2 linked regions of the Nothobranchius furzeri genome follow. The protein of the gene in region 2 purifies or fractionates together with the protein of the main gene of each other region. This does not show direct contact. Links are inferred from orthologs where the notes say so. Each region holds a gene or a part of one and is shown on either strand. Other genes may lie near its edges.

The links.
Region 1: the proteins of otud5a (region 2) and ruvbl2 purify together in Homo sapiens (affinity purification with mass spectrometry, with the first as the bait; 3 studies listed by BioGRID). This does not show direct contact. The link is inferred for Nothobranchius furzeri from reciprocal best matches to the Homo sapiens genes OTUD5 and RUVBL2.

Annotation. Positions count from the first base shown.
Region 1 is NC_091750.1:65,678,097-65,682,079, forward strand, and holds the start of ruvbl2 (ruvB-like 2), read left to right. Parts: upstream 1-1,172; 5' UTR 1,173-1,244; intron 1,245-1,954; coding exon 1,955-2,009; intron 2,010-2,129; coding exon 2,130-2,185; intron 2,186-2,514; coding exon 2,515-2,656; intron 2,657-2,761; coding exon 2,762-2,891; intron 2,892-2,976; coding exon 2,977-3,043; intron 3,044-3,176; coding exon 3,177-3,283; intron 3,284-3,373; coding exon 3,374-3,467; intron 3,468-3,545; coding exon 3,546-3,764; intron 3,765-3,854; coding exon 3,855-3,973; intron 3,974-3,983. UniProt on the Homo sapiens protein: Possesses single-stranded DNA-stimulated ATPase and ATP-dependent DNA helicase (5' to 3') activity; hexamerization is thought to be critical for ATP hydrolysis and adjacent subunits in the ring-like structure contribute to the ATPase activity.
Region 2 is NC_091755.1:47,032,977-47,037,109, forward strand, and holds the start of otud5a (OTU domain-containing protein 5-A), read left to right. Parts: upstream 1-1,305; 5' UTR 1,306-1,530; coding exon 1,531-2,118; intron 2,119-4,133. UniProt on the Homo sapiens protein: Deubiquitinating enzyme that functions as a negative regulator of the innate immune system. Has peptidase activity towards 'Lys-48'- and 'Lys-63'-linked polyubiquitin chains. Can also cleave 'Lys-11'-linked ubiquitin chains (in vitro).

The DNA.
Region 1 (3,983 bases), on a different chromosome or scaffold from region 2:
ACTTTGCTTTACACCCTTTTTTTTTGCATTTCTAAAGGTATAAAAACACGAAATCTAACTTGTCAGAAGAAAACTTAAGGATGGAGTGCCAGCCAACTTATCTTATCAGATATTTTGATTGATATTCCTTTGCATTGATCACTGCAAGTTCACATGAACAAAAATTCCACAGCTTTAAATTATGAGCTTTGCTACCTCTGGTGGAGAAAAGCTTTTAGAGCTTTATTATGGCGTTTTCCATCAGACAATGTTGGCCTTCCTATGCCATGTGGATGTGTTTCTTTTTAATATAGAACAAAAATATATCTGATTAACCCTTCAAAACTTGAAATAAAAAACTTATTACATTTAAACTTACATAATAGTCACAAGATAATTTGAATGGTACGTGTGTATTTGAGAAATAACGTCCCTCACGTATTTGTTCCAAATGCCTTGGTTTAAAATGACTTATTTTCAAAATTATAGTATTTTAATGTGTTTTGTGCTTGATGCATTCTTATTCTCATTGCTTATTTGTTTAGATTATTTTAAGAGAAAGCTCAGTAGATTGCAATTGTTGTCATGTCATCAATTCACAACAGGACAATTCCATTTGAAAGTATATAAAAAAGAAAGTCACAAGAAAATGTCCCTTTATTTTTATTTTTTGCTTTCATTCTTGTTAAATGCACCAGCACACAAATGTCTTCTACCTGGATTACCTCTTTATAATTTTTTATAGTGTTTTAGATTTTAAAGGACCCCTCACTGGTAAGAAGACTTTTTACTCAAAGCAACTTGGAAATTTGTAACTAAAAATATTTTTGCTATTTCAAATGTGAATAGAATATGTTTTAATAGTTGTGCTCATCCTTTTTTAGCAATGGCTTATTATTTTGTATTTGAAATTTAAGAAAAAAGCGATTCTTTTGTTTCTACTGGTTTCCAATGAGAACATTTAAATGACGAAAACACGAAATGCACGGACCCAGTTCTACAAACATTCATTGAACGAGTTAACATTTATAAAATTTTGAATTAGCATTTTATGTACCTTTATAAGAATCGTGTAATGAAACGTATTTACCTCGTTAGTTTTGTCTTCTTGGTCAAAAACAATTCAGTAACAACCGATGGTAACAACGCTCCCCCATGTGCCCCTGTGAAAAAAAAACTACTTGTTTCTAGTCGGACGCATTTGCTCGGTGCACTTTCAGAAAGGAGCGCCTCGTTCTCACGTTTCGGTGAGTGTAGTGGTGCAGGTGAGTGAACACGCTTATTATAAAATAATATAAAATTCAAACATATTACAGTTTATGCTGCCCGATTGCTGTTGTCTGTGTAATTTGAAGAAAGTCTTATGATGTTGGAGTGTTTGACGTCCCCATTCTGCTTGTTTTGAATGTTAGCTTTAAATAAAGCGATGAATGAAGCTAGCTGTTTGCTAACACAACATTAGCCACGGAATGCTATTCTATTCCTGTTTTAACGCTGGCAATGTAGCCGCACATGTTTCGGTATGTTACATAACTAATGTGGTGGCAGTTAAAAGTTTTCTTGCTTTCACGTATGACATTAATATTTGGAAAGTGATCGAAACTTTGTATTACGCTAGCTAATGTATTGTAGCGCATGGGTTATAACTGTCACTATGACAACCAGCTGGACAGAACAGACCTCTCAGACGTTTTCTGATCTAGCAAACAACATAAATATCGTTTTATTGTGGTACATTATTTACTAAAAGGTGTGTCTCATTGCCAAATCAAGTTTTGGATCTGATCTTTACCGTTTTAGTATGATCAGGTTTACACATTAACTATTGTTTTTAATAATTTGACTTATTTTGAGTCATAATGTGAGATACAGACAAATAACTGGTCAGTAGAAGTTGCATTGCTTAATTATTCAGAAACGTAAAACAATCTACTTAATATTACAAGTTTTTCTTGTTGTGTTTCACCTGATGCAGATGGCGGCTACAAAGGTTCCAGAGGTTCGTGATATCACACGGATTGAAAGAATTGGTAGGTGTGGACGTCTTGAACCGTTAACTAATCAAAAAGCTAATTTATCATAAGGGTGTATGATGCTGCTAGTTGTGTGTGCTCTTTATTTTTCCTTCAAATCCACCTTTTTGCGTTCAGGGGCCCATTCTCACATTCGGGGCCTTGGCCTGGATGATGCTTTGGAGCCAAGACAGGTACTCTTGTCTCTGATTCATTTGCTGTGGACTTCCTGTTCATGCTCTCTAAAGAAACTCTGTTAAGTCTTTTAAAAGAAAAAAGCTGTTTGTAAAATGTGTTGTTTGGTTACTACTAATGCATATACTTTGCTAGAACTGGTTAAACTGAAAATACAGTAGATAGCCTGTGTAACCTCAACATCACATCACTTCAGACATTTTCTCTTATATTATCTACCAACACTTTAGAATATTGAGCAGTGTTGTTCTTTTAGGTTTAGTTAATTTTCCAGCATTAATGTGTGTGAGGTTTTGTCTGAAGGAGACTTGATCCTCTTCACCTGCAGGTTTCTCAGGGGATGGTTGGACAGCTGGCTTCCCGTCGGGCAGCAGGGGTCATCTTGGAGATGATCAAAGACGGCCACATTGCTGGCAGGGCGGTCCTGATCGCTGGCCAACCTGGCACGGGAAAGACTGCCATTGCAATGGGTGAGAGCCGAGTTGGAAGCTGTCCATGGATGTAAATGTTTCAAGTTGCATTTTGTTTTGAATCAAGAGTTCCTGCATCCTGTTCCTGATGAGCTTGTCTTATAGGCATCGCACAGTCTCTCGGCTCAGACACGCCCTTCACAGCTCTGGCTGGTAGCGAGATCTTCTCCCTGGAAATGAGCAAGACCGAGGCACTGAGCCAAGCTTTTAGAAAAGCCATTGGAGTGAGGATCAAGTGAGACAGCGGTCACAGATACAGCATTATTTAATTATTTTTGTATGAAATGATTTGCCTTTGACTGTTTTTTCCGTATTTACAGAGAGGAGACGGAGATTATTGAAGGAGAGGTTGTGGAAATCCAGATTGATAGACCGGCCACCGGAACGGTGGGATACTTTCTCTAATGTTAGCTAGTAGTCTCAGAATTTATTGTCTCCCACTTTCTGTTAGCTTAAATACATTGATGTTATTCTCTTTGAAGAGTCCTGTTTAATAAAAATTATATTTTCTTTCCGTCAGGGTGCAAAAGTAGGCAAGCTGACTCTAAAGACGACAGAGATGGAGACTATCTATGACCTGGGCAACAAGATGATTGACAGTCTCAGTAAGGAGAAGGTTCAAGCTGGGTAGGTTCTGTTCGCACAACAAGACTCTCTAGTCTCGTTTTTCTCTGCTGGAGCGACGTTAGAACAAATCTATTTACTCTGTTTTTACAGAGATGTTATTACAATTGATAAAGCCACTGGGAAAATCAGCAAGTTGGGTCGCTCCTTCACCAGAGCCCGAGACTACGACGCCATGGGCGCTCAGGTGTGATGCCACTGTATTCAGATTGAGGATGCAGGTTGACTGATTGCTGGATTATTTTCTTTGTTTTGTCTTTTGTAGACCCAGTTTGTCCAATGTCCGGAGGGAGAGCTGCAGAAGAGAAAGGAGGTGGTACATACGGTGTCCCTCCATGAGATCGATGTCATCAACAGCCGCACCCAGGGCTTCCTGGCTCTCTTCTCCGGAGACACCGGAGAGATCAAGTCCGAGGTCCGGGAGCAGATAAATGCCAAAGTGTGCGAGTGGAGGGAAGAAGGCAAGGCAGAGATTATTCCCGGAGTAAGTTTTAGTGTGTGCAGATTTTTGAAGTTTGGGGTTTCTACCTGCTTAAACTACATAACAAATCATTTTGTTTGTTGTTTTTTCCAGGTGTTGTTTATCGATGAGGTCCATATGCTGGACATGGAGTGCTTTTCCTTCCTGAACCGGGCCTTGGAGAGTGACCTTTCTCCTGTTCTCATCATGGCAACCAACAGAGGCATCACCCGGTAGTGTTTA
Region 2 (4,133 bases):
TTCCTCCTTGCACTTCCACACAGAACAAGGGAGGGTCCCAGTTGCACCAAACACTGTCCCCTTCTTTATTGGAGACTTTACTGTGCTGCTCCTTGAGATTGAAATTTTCCGTAGTCTGTCCACAACTCTTTCCCTGAAATCTTTTAAATGTGGATTGCCACCCATGGTCCGTCTGATGTCAGCTCCAGCAACAGCTGGCGTTATTCACAGAGCAATACGATTGTAGTCCTTCAGAGGGGGTGATTATTTTCTCATTCAAAACTTTGACTTGAACTGCACTTTTATAGCGCCTTTCAGTGTCAGTGTATCATTCATCCGTTCACACACTGGTGGTGATGAGCTACAACATAGCCACAGCTGCCCTGGGGCACACTGACGGAGGCGAGGCTGCCAAACCCAGGTGTCACCGGTCCTTCCGACCGCCACCAGGGGGCGGGCGGGGTGGGGTTGGGGGGGGTGGGGGGTAATTTTCTTGCCCAAGGACACAACAGCAGGATTCTCTGGTGGGAGCCGGGATCGGACCTGCAACCTTCTGATTACTGGACAACCAACCCAACCTCTTGAGCTACTGCTGGCCCTACTTATCACTGAAAGAAAAATCATCACAAAGAGCAAAACAAATGACTTTTAATCAAGTGTAAATAACAGCATTCTGTTGTTGCTTAAAGAGCAAGTCACCCCCCCAAATAAACTTTTTTTTTGCTGATAAACTAAATAAACGAGTGTCTAATCGTGCTGCAGACACGTGTCGTCAATAATTTGGCACTTTAGTGCATCTTAGTTAAAATTTAAATATTCTGCCTAAAACTGGCAGTGTTGTGCCGTTGTCAGGTAAAAACTCTGCACTGTATTTCAATTTAAATCTGCCACCGCTATTGGCGAAGAGGTATGCTATGATGTAAACTGGTACATTATGATGTCACAATGCTGTCGTGAGCCTGTGTGTGTGTGTGTATTTGTTAGCAGCTCCGCCTTCTCGGTCTGCCAGGCAACAGCATTTGTTGCATTTTTCAAACATGAAGTGAGAGTGGAGTTAGACTCTGGTAGGGGTTGACTAAGCAAAAGTTTATTTGGGGGGTGAGTTGCTCTTTAAATGATTCGCAGCATCAGTTTTTATTGTTTTTTTGTTTTGTTTGTTTCGTAATTTTACACAAAAAGCTGAAAAGCGATAAGAATTAAAACAAAAATGTTTTGTAGAGTTTTATAGAATAAATGATTAATAATAAAAATAGTGATTCTGTGTGTTAAAGGTCAGGTTTACGTCATGACGCTGCCGGCCGGATGTTACGTCACAGCGCCCAGTCAGGCTGTGTTGATGTTTTGGAGAACGGGAAGAGGGAGACGCTTTTTGTTTTTGTTCAACTCCACCGTCGAATGTAAACAGAATTGTTGTTTCTTTGGTCGGTTTCGGTCCGTTAAGGGTCTTAACTCGGTGACTGGAGCCGAACCGCTCGTTCAGAAGGTGAATAGACCGACTAGTTTTATCCAGAACGGGGACTCGTCACCCTCTGACCGCCTCCCTGCTCCACCATGACGATCCTCCCCAAGAAGAAGCCCAGCTCTGGTGTCGGCGTCTCGGACCACGCCGATGACAGCGACCGTCGGAGCAGCTCCGACCCTCACCAACACCCACACCCGCACGCTGGGCGGACCGGAGCCCGACCCAGAGCCTCCCCTCCGCCGTGGTCTTACCAGACTGCTCCCCCCTCCGCCAGAGAGGACAGGCGGAGCATCGAGGCGAGCTCCCGGCCGCAGCAGGCCTCTCCGCCGCCCGTTGGCTCCGTGTCCCCGGTAGGGCCGGGAGATGGCAGAGACGGTAGCGGTGGAATGGTTACCGGCTCCCGCGGGGAGCTTGTTGTGCCTGCCGGTGTCGTTGGATGCGGCGGGTCGATAGGCGGTTGCTGCTCCGGGCCCGGGCTGAGCAAGAGGCGGCGGCAGGCAGGAACCTGCTCCGGTGGGGTGGTCGCTGCTCTGGCCGGGGGAGGCCAGCCGGGGGTGACCGGACCCGGAGGTGTAGGGTCCAGTCAGGATACGGAGGAAGGAGCAGGGAACAACAGCGAGGACGAGTACGAGAACGCCGCCCGGTTGCAGTTCATGGACCCGGCCACGGTGGAGCAGGTAGGGAGCTAACAGGCTAACGGGGATGCTAACGAGGCTAAACGGGAGGGTTCTGGAGGGTTTGAAGGCTTTTACACAACATTTAACTCCATAAAGAGACCCCACCGTGTCAGCAGTGTCGTGATTAACAAAAGTGTAATCATAAAGGAAACGCCGCTGTAGCGGTACAACACCAGTACTACACTGTTTTCACCACAACGGTCAGGTCAAAGTCTGACCCGCTTCCCAAAGGCTTCAGGTAACCATAGCAACGACTGGGATGCTGTAGTCACACAACAGGTAATAGGGGTGGGGATTTATGAGGGCTGGATGTGCAGGTGGGGGCAGCAGCAACAGTCAGTCCAGATGTGGTTTTAGTGCCTCCCAGCATCCAGATCCAGACCTGTGGTCCTGAATCTGGATCAGCACTTTTCTAGAATGTGGATTTTTTTTTACACCATCAGGTCTCTACTGACCTCGATCAGCAGGCCATTAGACGTAAGCAACATGTTTGAAACCTCAGTGTCATCTTCGATGAACACATGAATTTCGACAAACAGATCAATGCGGCGGTCAAGTCAAGTTTTTATCAACTTAGGACCTGGAAAAAGTCAGTCATGCCCTTATAAGCTCGCACATCGGTTACTGCAATGCCCTATCCAAGTCCTCCATCGCTCGTCTGCAGCTAGCCCAAAATACCGCAGCCCGTCTCCTCACTAACACACCTTGGGGCAGCCATATTACTCCCATTCGCTTAGAACTGCACTGGCTTCCTGTATTTTTCAGAACACAATTCAAATTCATAATGTTCACGAGCATCCATGGCCTCGGTCCTGCCTATCTCTCTGACTCCTTGTCCTTACGTCAGCTAACACGGTCCACTAACTCAGTCCCTCGACCTCGATACAAGCACTGGGGTGACCGCTCTTTTTCAGTCGTGACTCCAGCAGTCTGGAACAAACTCCCTGATGACCTGAGTTTGACTTTTGAGTTATCTTTGTTCAAGCGCAAGCTTAAAACCTACCTTTTCCAACAGGCTCTTCATCAGTAGCCATCCTCTTTAACTTCTGATGATAAAGACTCGCGGGTCTTATTTTGTTTCTGAACCAGGAACGGGCTTTTGGTCCTGATGCTGACAGCCTGGATGTTCCTTTTCCTCTTTGGACCAGAGCTCTTAGACCCCAGCTCTTGAAACAATACTCCAGAGTTCTGATCCAGTTGACCACATTTCTGCTGTTCTGGTCCAACCCAGAGGATTTGGTGCAGCCTCTGAATGGAGTGGTTGCTGATTAGAGATTGACAAATTGGTTTTTCTTTTGCTGATGCTGATATGTAGAGGTCCTGGTCAGCCGTATGGTAAAATGTCACTGATAACATCTAGACGTGGGCGGTGCTCACATTTTAATCCCACCTAGCTTCCTCCACATTTTACCACGGTGTGCGGTATTACTGGGACTAATTTAAAAATGATGACGTAAGCCTTCAAACTGTTGGTTTGGACCTTCACCGTTCAGAAACTCAATAACAAACACTAACAACATAACACACCTAATATTAACAACTTTAATAAAAAAACAAGCTTATAAAAAGATTTTTCACCTGTAAAACCTGCACGTTTACCTTTTTCGGCTTCAGCCCCCAACTGCTGAAAACTCGCTTGTGGCAGACGGCCGGTTACCTTTGGGCTAGTCGTGACATCTGGGGAAGGCTGGCTGCTTATTTCCACCAGAAAGGCCTGTAGTCGTGCCTTTTAATGACGGCTGCAGACAGAAATCTGCCTCTTCAGCTACGGCTCGCTGCTCTGCCGTGCCGACGGGGCGGGCGGCTTTCGCTGTCCTCTTTTGTTTGCACAAATGACCTCATAAGAGTTCACCAGAAGTTGTGGTTTTTTTAAGACTCCCGGTCAGCTGGTACGCGAGCTGCCATTTCTTCTCTCGGCGCTGTCATGTGATGACATCATGTTCATAAACTTTGTGGAACATCTCTAAAATGTCGACAAAACATTTTAAACTATTTAAGTAAAACCAAAAATTCAG